Linked DNA regions of Xenopus tropicalis. The protein of the gene in region 1 purifies or fractionates together with the protein of each later gene. This does not show direct contact. Links are inferred from orthologs where the notes say so. Each region holds a gene or a part of one and is shown on either strand. Other genes may lie near its edges.

Region 1 (3,764 bases):
TTACCGGATGAGTTGATTAACTCAAGTGAGTTTGGTCTGACTAATGGTGGAGATCTCAGTCAGCTACACAACAGCATGAATATGGTGCCTGATGCAGCTGCCAAGCATAAGCAGCTTTCTGAGCTCTTGCGTGGTGGAACCACCTCAAACATGAGCATGGGCCTTGGGCAACAAACATCACAAAACAGCCCAGGAATAAACCTACTGAACAGCATGGTCAAAAGTCCCATGAACCAAGGAGGACTTACATCGCCAAACATGGGTATGGGAGGCAGTGGAAACACTGGACCAACAGCTCAGCAGATAAATCCCACGTCAGCAGCAGGAATGATACCTGGTGTGAATAGCCCTGTAAACCAGCATGGCATGGGCATCAACGCAGGAATGATGACAGCTGGAAATGGACAAAGTATGATTCAGGGTCAAATGATGAATGGGTCTGTTGGATCTGGTAGAGGTCGTCCTAACATGCAGTACCCCAACCCTAACATGGGCAATACAGGCAACATTCTTGCCGAAACACTTCAAGGTGGACCTCAAATTGGAGGACAGCCTGGTATGAGAGGTCCACAGCCAACAGCCATGAACAAGGTGAGAGACCTTTTTTGGGGATATTTTCTTTTCATCTTAATGAATATATAAGAAAATGGGTATTTCCTATATTTATTAACATGTAGGACAGGTAATGACAAAAGTAAGAGAACTCCACAAAACTAACTTATCTGCTGTATTTAAAATTGCTTTTGTTGCCAGGGTGTATGTGCCCTGTCAAAAATTTGTCATTCTTTGTAGGAGACATAAGTGTTTTTTTTTTTATTTGAATTTTTTTCATTGTGCAAAAAAAAAAAAATAAATAAATAAAAAACAATTTTTGCTGTAAGCATGGCTATTTGCAAATACGGTCACAAATACATTTAAAACCTTTTAATTGTGTTTAAATGTATATCTAAAAGTTGTTTATAATTTCATATTCATTATGCAAGAAAATTTTAAAAGGGATGACGTTTATATATGCACCTGTTATAACTGACTTTTCAGTTACTGTTCATTATACCTTTTAAATGTGCTTTAAGTTCTTGGTCACTGATAATGTGGATAGTAAGATCTGTAGCAGTTTATAAAACACTGGCCTTATTTTATGAATGTGTTGGTCGACTTTTTAAAGTGAAACTTGAAAGACAGCAATTTTGGCAGTAGTAGTTTGATACATTTCCATCAGGGTTTGGGAGAGTGCTTTATAGTTCAGTGAAAAGATAAAAAGATTAGCAAATGTAAAACATTGTTAAAAATAGTGTTATATAGTGTTTAAGTTTGTTACATCCACATATTCTACCTCTCAGTGTTTCAAAGTTTTTACATTTTGGTTCAGGCAAATTATTCATCATACATATACAGAAAAAATGATACCACCCAGCTGAATACAAATATCCATTTAAAGATAATACAGTTTTGCCATTTCTTAGTGCTGCGTAAATCATTCTTACCTCTTTTTGTTTGAACAGCTTGAGATGTTATTTATATATTATTATTTATATATTATTAATATCTTGTGTTATATACTTGTAGAGATTCTTGATCACTTTCTTCCATAAGTTCAAATGTTGTGGTTTCTTACGGTGATACAGAGCTATAAACAGACTTGCTTATATTGGGGCATAATTTGTATTCTTCCCTAAGGGTAACATCAGATAAGTGATATTACTGATTTGATTTGTTAGTACAAACAACTTGCATCAATTAGAGAAATGTAGTTTTTGTAAATACACACTCCATGCTATGAATTGCTGACACATTTTAGCATGATTTTAGCATGAGCCTGCAGTTTGCAGTGCACCATTGAAAAACTGTGTGACTGAGTTGTTTGCAGTAGGTGGAGGAATATGGTAGAAATCTGGCTAAGAAAGTGCCAGATAGTAGTTTAGGGAATAGTACATGAGTTTGGCTAAGCATTCCATGCTCATGGTGGCCACACACAGGCCAATAAAAATGTGGAATTTTTCCAAAACTTGCTCTTCCAAACCAAGTTGGCATCTCAATGGCTTTTGTATGTGGCCCTTAGGAGTCCTTTCTGATTGATATTGACATAGCATTGTCAAGATAGTTATTGGGCATGTTAATGCTGATTTGTTGGTGCGGTCTTTGTCTGATAGGTCTTCATAGGCCCACTACATCTCAATGGTTGGTCCACTGGCAAATGATCAGATTGATCCATTTTCTGGGTTGCCTGAGATCAGCTCATTTGGCCTCCCAATTGAGTTAATCTGAAAGTGCCCACAGCTTATTAGCTCATATCATGCCAGGGATCACCAGGTTGGACAAGTGTGGAAGATCTGTTGTAGAAGGCCTAAATTATGTGGGCCTCTCTCTAGTGGTGCCTGCACAAGGGATGTGTTGTTGGCCCTAGGCCAACAGTCTGATTGCTCGTTTGGCCTATTGTCGATGAGCAGAGCTTTTGGTAAGACTGTTAGTCTTGATGAGTGCCACACCATTTTGGAATCTTTAAGTATTAGTAGTAGTATCCACTAATACTAATAGTAATCTATTAGTATTAATGGCTTGATTTAAATTTTGCATTACAATATGCACTTGTGCACAATAACAAATAAGTGTACAATGGTGTGTGATTTAGGTGCTGGTGGCATCTGGCTGTAGCAGCTTAACTACAATGTTTTTGACTGGACTATGAGGCTTAGTAGTGTAGCCTACATGCCACGTGTATGGTAGCATGGGGACACGGTATCCTATACACTACACCAGGCAGCTCCAAAAACACTACTTTGGCAACTGACTTGACGCTTGCCCTTCTGGCTGCAACATATTTGTATCATGCAGGATTCCACTGTGACTACAGAGACTTTTCTTTGTGAACTAAGATACTATTTGACCAGAAGTCTGAGAGGGACATCTATGTAATTACTATGGTTTCTATAAACCTAGGCAGTATGTAGCCATGTTTCAGGTCAGAGCTGTTCTGACTGTAGTGAGAGGATTATTCTAGGGTAATGGGATGTTGTTCCTACTGAGTTGATGGGATGTTTCTCCATTTATTTGGGAAGACTTTCCCATTTTAATGTCCTAACTTGCTAGAGATAAATAGGTACAGTGGAGCAGTTTTTACTGTTGTGTGAAAGCTTCATTGTGTCCTAAACCTGTCATATGCAAGGCAATGCTGCTTGGAGTGTGCCGGGGAGGGGCAGGCTGAATTTTAAGAGTTGGGGGTGGGTAAGACTTGCACTTACATGGGGGAGGGAGCCATGTTACCTTTTGTTCCCTTTTCTGGACTGGTGCTTTGCCATCTGCTCTCTTTACTTGGGTCCTGATTTCTTAATAGGCTGTGGCCTTCTTCCTTAAGATGTGTATATTAAATGCATCCATGCACCATAGTTTTTTTCCGGTAAAAACTACATACAGAAAGCACTACATTTAAATATAACAAAATATGGGCAATAAAATAGAGTAATTTTAAACCCAGAACAATTTGTGCAATTAAAAAACCCCACAAAAAGGCAGGATGCTAGCAATATCTTACAGGTGTCTGTATATTAACAATTTAGATGTCTGTTTAGGGATCCAGCAAAGTCCTAGTACTTCTGCAGCATTTGAATTTGCTTGGCTGCCTTATTGCAGCCATACAATCTTTTCTGATGTTTTTCCACATATGTTGTGCAGGCTTCTTGATAGGTAATGCAAAGAAGTGTTTTGATTTGTGTTCTGTATTCATATGAATTCATATTTTGAGGCAGATTTAGAATTTATATTGTATC
Region 2 (4,080 bases), on another chromosome or scaffold:
AGATAGATGATAGATAGATAGATAGATAGATAATAGATAGATGATAGATAGATGATAGATAGATAGTAGCAAGCTATCAAGACTTAAGGAAAAATGAGAAACAGATGAAAATAGACAGACATATGGAACAGGGGGCATTGCTTGCCTGAAACCCCCATGCTCAGTTCACACATCACAAACCGCTCCCCCCCCCCCCCCATCTCTCAGTCCACTCAAGCTCTTGCTGCTCATTCCTACCAATCAATCCACCTCTGATTGTGCCCCACCACCCCAATTGCACCCAAGGCACGTGCCTCTGCTGCCTACCCCTATCTCTGGACCTGCAATAAATGACAGATAATATCAGATAATGCAGGCATATCGGGCAGCTGCCCAGGGCCCACGTCTCGAGAAGAGCCAAGATTGTCTAGATTATCTAGATTGTAAGCTCTACGGGGCAGGGACCTTTGACTCTTAACTTATTGCAACTGTATCTTTTATTTATTGTTATACTTTGTATTTATCTCTTATTATCTTAATAACCCCCTGTTTGTATTAATGTATTCTACTGTACAGCGCTGGGTACATAAGTAGCGCTTTATAAAGATATACATACATACAAGGGACAAAGGTACTTCTGCACTATTCAGCCATGAAGCTTGGGGGGGGGTAGGAAGCCTCAGCTAATAGCAAAGGTGGCCATACATGCTAAGATTTTTCCCTCCCTAACGACCAATTTCACATTTAGCGATTTTTCATCCAACATTGGTCAGAAAATCCATTGGGCAGGTTTGAAAGCAATAAAATTTGTCCATTGTCCAATTGTATGCAGGGAAATTGTCATTTTCAAACCTGCCCAACTAAATCTGGGCAAGCCTTCTTATTGCAGCATGATGAGGACAATGTATGGGATAAATATACTGATATTGCGGTCTTTGAAAGGAATAAAAAGGGCCCCAACATGACATTTTCATCTGCCCCATCAACTAAGATGCATCTCTCCCTTCACACATCACTTCATAGAATGGCCCCTCCGCCATACCATTCACATAACATACCCAGCACAGCAAGAAGCAACTATATATGTTGCCTCTGCTTTATAGTGCTTCGGGTAAAACTTTATTGACTTCACAAAAACATAACAGAGTTCTGTTTTAAACTCGTTTATCCGGTATTTTAGCCGTCGCTACCTTTCCTCCTAACCACTCCCCCTCTGGTGTGCGTAATGGTTTGTCCCGAGTGCATATAAAGGGCTGCAAGTTCCCCGCCTTAGCACAGTGCGCAGCGGAGGTGATATATCGTGGTTACTAGGCGGTACTTGGAGAACATCAGTGATACCGCAACATGGCCACCAACGGTAAGGAATTACTTGACGTTCGCCCTTTGTACTCGGCTGCTAGTTTTGATATTTTTGTTTCGCGCTAGTTGGGGGCTGTGTATGTATAGTCGGGCATAGTGTATAGGCTTTAATATTTGTTATATGTCTTAGGGTGCGAAGCAAAGTAGTACTCAGGATTAAGATACGAGATCTGCTCGTTCTTTGGCGCCATTTTGCCTTATGTGTATTTTTCGTTGTTTCTATGTATCCGGTATCGCGGATATGTTACTATGCGTGCATCTTGTAGGCTTTCCCCGTTGTATCGGTCCCGCCGCTTCTTGGCTCCTCCCACCATTGTGCTGAATGCGCAGCTGGCAGCCATTTTGTAGCCGCACTGCGCTGCTTTCGCCATTTTGTATCCGGGCGGGCTGGGCGTGTGGGGCACTAATGCGTGGCATTCTGTCCGGATAAACCTTCCCAGAAAACGAGTGTTTTGTGTAGTAACGTTATAAGAAAAAAATCTTGCCTCTGGAAACCATTATCCGTGGTTTAGGGGGAGGGAATCAGTATATTGGTCAATTGCCCACAGGGCAGAACATGAATAAGTCTCTGTAGGGCTGGTAAATGGCTGCAACACTGCTGCCTGGGGGATCTTTAAGCAGATTTAACTAGTAAAGTAAATTCTTGGCTGAGACATAGGGTAAGAAGCGGGTAGATATATATATGTGTGTGTGTATGTGTCTACATATATATATATATATGTGTGTGTGTGTGTGTGTATGTGTCTACATATATATATATATATAGTATACAGGGAGGAGCACACCCTATACAAGTCCAAATGCCCTTGGTGCAGGTCAAAAAACAAAAATATAATAGAAAGAGTGCCGCACACATAGGGACTTGATACAAAAGAAAAAGTGGTTTTATTGAAAAAATGCCAACTTTTCGAGCACAATCTGTGCTCTTCCTCAGTTGGTTTGTCCCTGAGGAAGAGCACAGATTGTGCTCGAAACGTTGTAATTTTTTCAATAAAACCACTTTTTCTTTTGTATCAAGTCCCTTATATATTATATCCCTTATATATTATATATATATATATATATATATAATATATATGTGTGTGTGTGTGTGTATATAGATAGATATATAGAACAAAATAAAGCACACCCTTAAAGAATTCAAATGCCCAAGGTGCTGGTGCCTGCACACACAGGGACTTTACAAAAAATCACAAATTTATTAGAACAAAAAAAGTCCAACGTTTCGAGCACCTACTGTGCTCTTCCTCAGGGACAAACCACCTATATATACACATATATATATATATATATATATATATATATAATATATATATATATATATATATACCGCACTCGCAGGACTTGGTGAAAAAATAAGATACCTTTATTGTGAAACCACGTCAATCTAACGTTTCGGCCGGATCCTCAGCCTTTCTCAAAGTATATATATATATAACAGTGGGCCGCACACACAGGGACTTTGCTGAAAAAATAATAAATTTATTTAAGAAAAGAAATCCAACGAAACCTGGGTGCTAGTACCAAAAAAATGCACTGGAACAAGGCCGGCACTCCTAATATTTAAAGAATTGTGAGCAGTGTAAATATTGAAAGGTTATTACTCAACGTTTCGGTCTCACACAAACCTTCATCTTCATCTGGAGAAAGCTTCAACCTTCACTCCAGATGAAGGTTTGTGTGAGGCCGAAACGTTGAGTGATAAACCTTTCTATATCTAAATTTTGCTCACAATTCTTTAAATCCTAAGAGTGCTGCCCTTGTTCCAGTGTGTATATAATATATATTTTACCCCGCCCCCCCACCCAGGCTTCTTGTATAGGAAACTATGGACCTCAGTGACCTTGTTGTAGTTCCAAGGCCATTAAAGGGACAATAGAGACTTGTGCCCTGTAATTCCATGCACTGGTCTTGATTTAAGAAAAGATCCTGTTTTAATTTAGTGTTGGGTGTGGAAGGAAAGTTTTCCTCACAGGGATTCACTATTTTTTTGGACTATGGCCTGATAAGACTATAAACTGGCCATACATGGGTAGACTTAAGCTGGCCATATATGCACCAACAATATCGTACAAAACCTCGTTTCGTACAATATTCGGTTTGTGTGTATGGCGGCTCGACGAGGCACCCGATATTGCAAAAGGCTGCGGATATCTGTCGACTTGTTGATCGGCCAGGTTAAAAGATTTGTCCGATATGGAGGTAGAAACAATAGAAATTCTACCCCCTTCTGCCCTGAACTGATTTTGCTTTTGTACCTTCAACGGTACCCAAGCAAAATCTAAGTTCAGGGCAGAAGGGGGTAGAATTTCTATTGTTTCTACCTCCATATCGGACAATTCAGCCCTGAACGTCTGTGGACGATCTTTGGTGCGACCGATGGCATTGATGTGCCCCTGTCTGGCCTTAATTATCCAAATAAGGGCCAGAATATCACAATGTAGTTTTGTATGATATTTGGCCTGTGTGTGGTAAGTTTTGTACGATTTTCAGGCTGTGTGGGCTCTACATTATCACCACAATCATTTTTGTACCATGGTGTTCGGTTGTTTAGTCGATCGGACAGGATAAAACATTTTGGTTGGATAAGGATAAAATCTGTGCATGTATTGTGTATGTGCCGATATCCTTGGGGGGCCTACAATGGGAGTCACTTTCATACGGTTGGTGTCTGCCAACTATTTCATGCCCAGAACGCCCTCTGATATATTTTTAGGATTTTATCCTATAATTTCAATCTGC
Region 3 (4,214 bases), on another chromosome or scaffold:
TAATCATTTTTAATAAATAGATATTGGAAAGTTACTTAGAATTATGTTTTCTTTTATAAGGCAAAACATTATTTTTGGGGTTGACATGTCCTTTAAGATACTTACCTCAACATGGCTTAGATATTAACAAGTGCAGCTATTTTTTTATTATTACAGAAACAAAAAAAAGCAAACCACTCAATCAGTATTTTTTAAAAATTTGCATTCTTGTATTAAAGAGCCTTCTGGATAACTAATTTCTGTATAGCAGATTCCATATCTAATTACGAGTGGGCGATATCGGGCTAATTTGATCGTTTGGCCCAGGGGCCAAGCGATCAAATTAGAGCTATGGGTATAGGCGCAGTCGTTGTTAGTGCCCATGCATGGGTTGATAAGCTGCCAAAGCTTTACTCATCAGGCAGAATATAGATAGAGATAGGGTTGCCACCTGTGTGACTTTGAACCGGACAGAATTCCAGCCAATTGCATAAGTTATACAATAACCCTGCCCCAGGCTCAAAACCCCACAGACATCATTGTGCCCACCTCTGATGTAATTGTGCCGACCCCCAATGCCAGCTGCCCAATCTCCTTTGTTCGGGCTTAACCCCCACCTAGGGTGGCAAACCTACATGTGTTGCCCATTTAAGCCACCAATATGTGGTAACATGACAACGGTGTACGACAGATAGAAACTGGTAATAAAAGTAAAGTTATCCCAATATCCATGTTCACTTAATGTTCCGACAAATATCAGTCAAGCGCTCCTGAACTTAAAGTTAGGAAACTTCAGTGGCGAGATACACGACTACAAACGGCTCATTCAAACTCCACTAGCAGTTGCATTAGCACTGTAATATAACTCTTACATTCGTAGTTCTTGTTTACGGGTGGGTACTTTGCCTTGACAGCAACCTGCTCTTCACTTATTGTATAATAGCGTTCGTCCATCTTCTCAGGTGCGCAGCCTCAAGCCTATTAGCCTAAGCGTCTTCCGGGAGACTGGGTTCCACCAGCCTGTCACGTGTTCCCGGCTGAAGCAATTGTAGAAGGGTCCATTTTGTTTCACTTCCGTAACTAGAGATGGCAGTGTGGTGCCCGTGTGAAGGTGCTATCAGGGCAAGTTGGACACTCCTTTTTCTTTCGGTAGCTTATGGCAGAAATCATAACATTAAATCGTTGGGACAGTATGTGCTCGTTAATACCAACACAAGGAAACCTTCCTTGATCACATGACGCCTACAGCATCACTGCCTTACCGGCTGTTACTTCACTTCCGTGAATACGGTCCCTACCGACTGGCACCACGTGACGTCCCATGCACTCTTGACTGGCGCGCACTTGGTAGACACCCATTGATGACGTAAAGTGTCTTGATTGGTGATCTATGCCGTTTCTGCTACGGTTCCTATTGGGTCTTGTTGGCGCGAAGGTGTGCGGCTCCGAGACACGGGGGAGGCGGGAAACAATAGCGGGAGGAACAGGCCCGGGCACTGAGGGGAGGAGTCAGGGGAAAAACCGGGGAAACGTGAGCTAAGTTGAGGACTCTAAGAGCAAGTTGAGTCTCGCAAGCGGTAAAGTCTCTGCTCCTGGATTTACTATGGCTGATAAAGAGGGTAAGTATGAGCCGAGAGTAAGGGACATCCTTTTGGTACTAGTGATTGAGGTACGCGGGAATCTTGAGGGCATTGAGATGTGGGTCCTTTACTTCGCGTCTACCCGGTATACTTGTGAGAGGCAAATGCCACCTTTCTTAAAGTGCATTCTGACTCGAGTGTTTTTATGTGCGCAGCTGCGTTTGATGATGCGGTGGAGGAACGAGTTATAAACGAAGAGTATAAGATATGGAAAAAGAACACCCCTTTCCTGTATGATCTGGTGATGACCCATGCCTTGGAATGGCCTAGCCTGACTGCCCAGTGGCTCCCAGATGTCACAAGGTGATTCCCATAGTAACACTTCTTTTTTTAACTTATTACTAAATCTTATACTGTATGGAAAATATAGCTTTAACTATCTGCAGTTATGGGGACTGGAAAGCTGTACTCATTTCGGGTTTCTTAGTGCTGTGGAACATTAGTGTGGATCTTGCATTTATTTTCAATTGTAAAAAAAAGTTGTCTCTGTGTAGATAACTGATAATAACCAGTGCCAGTGTTTGGAATTTCAGCCCCAGCAGTAGATGCTGAATAGTTTAGTCCAACTTCTGCTTCACAGCTTTTAGAGTTCATTTCAAAGTCTGTATGTTTCAATTAATTAAAAGAAAAATGGAGAAATCAGCTATTTTCAAACTGGTACTAGAATATATTGCCAGGATAACAAAACAGCTGAGGGACTGAATTGTAGACATTTCTGTATATGGAAGGTTTATCAATGGTGGTATAACCTAAAAATGAAAACTGGCGGCACAGGCTTTTTCGCTGTAGCCTTCATACAAGTTATGGGTGCTTAACCAAATTCTGGAAGGAAAATGAGAACTTCTGTTCTCATGTATTATAAGAGAATTGTAATGCCATTCAAAGATAATCTTAGCTTTCTTGTTGCATCTATTTTTGACTTGACAGACCCGATGGAAAAGATTTCAGTATCCACAGACTCGTCCTTGGGACACACACTTCTGATGAACAGAATCATCTGGTGATTGCTAGTGTGCAGCTTCCTAATGATGACGCTCAATTTGATGCATCACACTATGACAGTGAAAAAGGAGGTAAGATGGGGGGGTGGTTAGTGTGACAGTGCTCAAATTCGCCTTTGTTCTAAAGGTAAAATGGTGTCAATATTATTGTAATTAAAAGCAGTATTTGTCTCCTCCAGTTCTTAAACAGTGTAGCAGGATCCAGTTCTCATCAGCTGCTTCTACTACATTCTTTTAGCAGTCTGAGCCAGTAGTACAGAGAATGTAAACTATTATAATGTTTTTAATAGCAGTTACATTTACAAATAGTGTAACGTTTTTTACGTATATTTCTGTCAAAGCCAATTATACTTTCTTTCATTATACAAAAACAGTTTTTGAGTCAAGGGCCATTTTAAAGTTTAATTTTCTATCCTCACATGTTGCTCAAGAGTAACTTGTTGCCAGCCTTTTAAACTCTCTCTCTCTCATGTATCACCATGTCTCGTGTATCTGTTTTTAACTTTAGCTGTTTCATTGGCTGGTATATTCCCATTCTACAACTATTGTAGCAAGTTGTAGCAGTTTACAGAGCTTTTACAACCTGGTTTACTGAGCTGGTACAGGCAAACAGAGAGAGAAATAAGGGGAGTGTATCCTTAGGGCTGTGGCACACAGGGAGATTAGTCGCCCGCAACAACTTTCCCTAAAATGCTATCCCACCGGCAAGAATGTAAATCTCATCTTGTTGGGATGGCATGCGCGGTGCCGCGAATTCCCCAAAATCACGAAAGTTTCCTCTCAAGGCAATTAGTCGCCCACGACACAGGAGATTTGTTGCGGGTGACTGATCTCCCCGTGTGCCACAGCTCTTAAGGGTGAAGAGACACAGAGCTACTAGTAGCAGCTACTTGTCTGGCTACTAAAGTAGATCATGCTGATTGTTTACTGATAATTGTCTCTCCTTGTTTTAGCAGAGGCAGTTCCCAGTATTGTCTATGGCAGAGTATTTTCTGGAGTTTACTAGCCATGAAAAAGTAGCTCCTTGTGTGTTCACCCTAAAGCAAATAAAATAAAATAGAAAGCAATTTATCGTATCAAACAATCTTTGTTTTAAAGAAACTGTTAGTGGTTTAACTAACTATAAAGATGGACATACATAAGATTCGATACATAAGGTTTGCTTGATTGGCAAATAAGTGGATCATTTCCTGATATGCGCACCTAAGGTGGGCGATGTCATGCTAATTTGATCATTTGGCCCCAGGTCAAATAATCAAATAACAACGAAGATGTCATTTCTAACTTCCCTTTCCCATTCAAGTTAAGCTGGTCCACTTTGCTATTTCAACATTGTATTCATTGTATGAAGGTCTTGATACAAGTAATAACACAAATTCATTGTGTAAATCTATAAGTGCATACACTGAAATAATGTAGACATTTGCCACTGTGGATTTAAAGCCTATTGAATTCATTGGGACTTTTATTTCCTTAGGTTTCTGCAGAAACACAGCCTTTTTGACAGGTTTTACTCACAGCTACATCATCCTACCAGTTCCCCACATCTGTATATGTCTGTGTTTAGTCTGTGTTTTACTGACAAATTGGTTTG

What was found. The genes of interacting proteins can lie anywhere in the genome.
Region 2: the proteins of ep300 (region 1) and fus purify together in Homo sapiens (affinity purification with mass spectrometry; 4 studies listed by BioGRID and IntAct, with this or other methods). This does not show direct contact. The link is inferred for Xenopus tropicalis from reciprocal best matches to the Homo sapiens genes EP300 and FUS.
Region 3: the proteins of ep300 (region 1) and rbbp4 purify together in Homo sapiens (affinity purification with mass spectrometry; 4 studies listed by BioGRID, with this or other methods). This does not show direct contact. The link is inferred for Xenopus tropicalis from reciprocal best matches to the Homo sapiens genes EP300 and RBBP4.

What each region holds. Positions count from the first base shown.
Region 1 is NC_030680.2:115,931,423-115,935,186, reverse strand, and holds part of ep300 (histone acetyltransferase p300), read left to right. Parts: coding exon 1-591; intron 592-3,764. UniProt on the Homo sapiens protein: Functions as a histone acetyltransferase and regulates transcription via chromatin remodeling. Acetylates all four core histones in nucleosomes. Histone acetylation gives an epigenetic tag for transcriptional activation.
Region 2 is NC_030685.2:6,034,297-6,038,376, reverse strand, and holds the start of fus (RNA-binding protein FUS), read left to right. Parts: upstream 1-1,280; 5' UTR 1,281-1,323; coding exon 1,324-1,336; intron 1,337-4,080. UniProt on the Homo sapiens protein: DNA/RNA-binding protein that plays a role in various cellular processes such as transcription regulation, RNA splicing, RNA transport, DNA repair and damage response. Binds to ssRNA containing the consensus sequence 5'-AGGUAA-3'.
Region 3 is NC_030678.2:90,312,103-90,316,316, reverse strand, and holds the start of rbbp4 (histone-binding protein RBBP4), read left to right. Parts: upstream 1-1,414; 5' UTR 1,415-1,582; coding exon 1,583-1,598; intron 1,599-1,774; coding exon 1,775-1,922; intron 1,923-2,546; coding exon 2,547-2,692; intron 2,693-4,214. Other genes in the region: zbtb8os (protein archease), read right to left, coding at 1,242-1,338. UniProt on the Homo sapiens protein: Core histone-binding subunit that may target chromatin assembly factors, chromatin remodeling factors and histone deacetylases to their histone substrates in a manner that is regulated by nucleosomal DNA.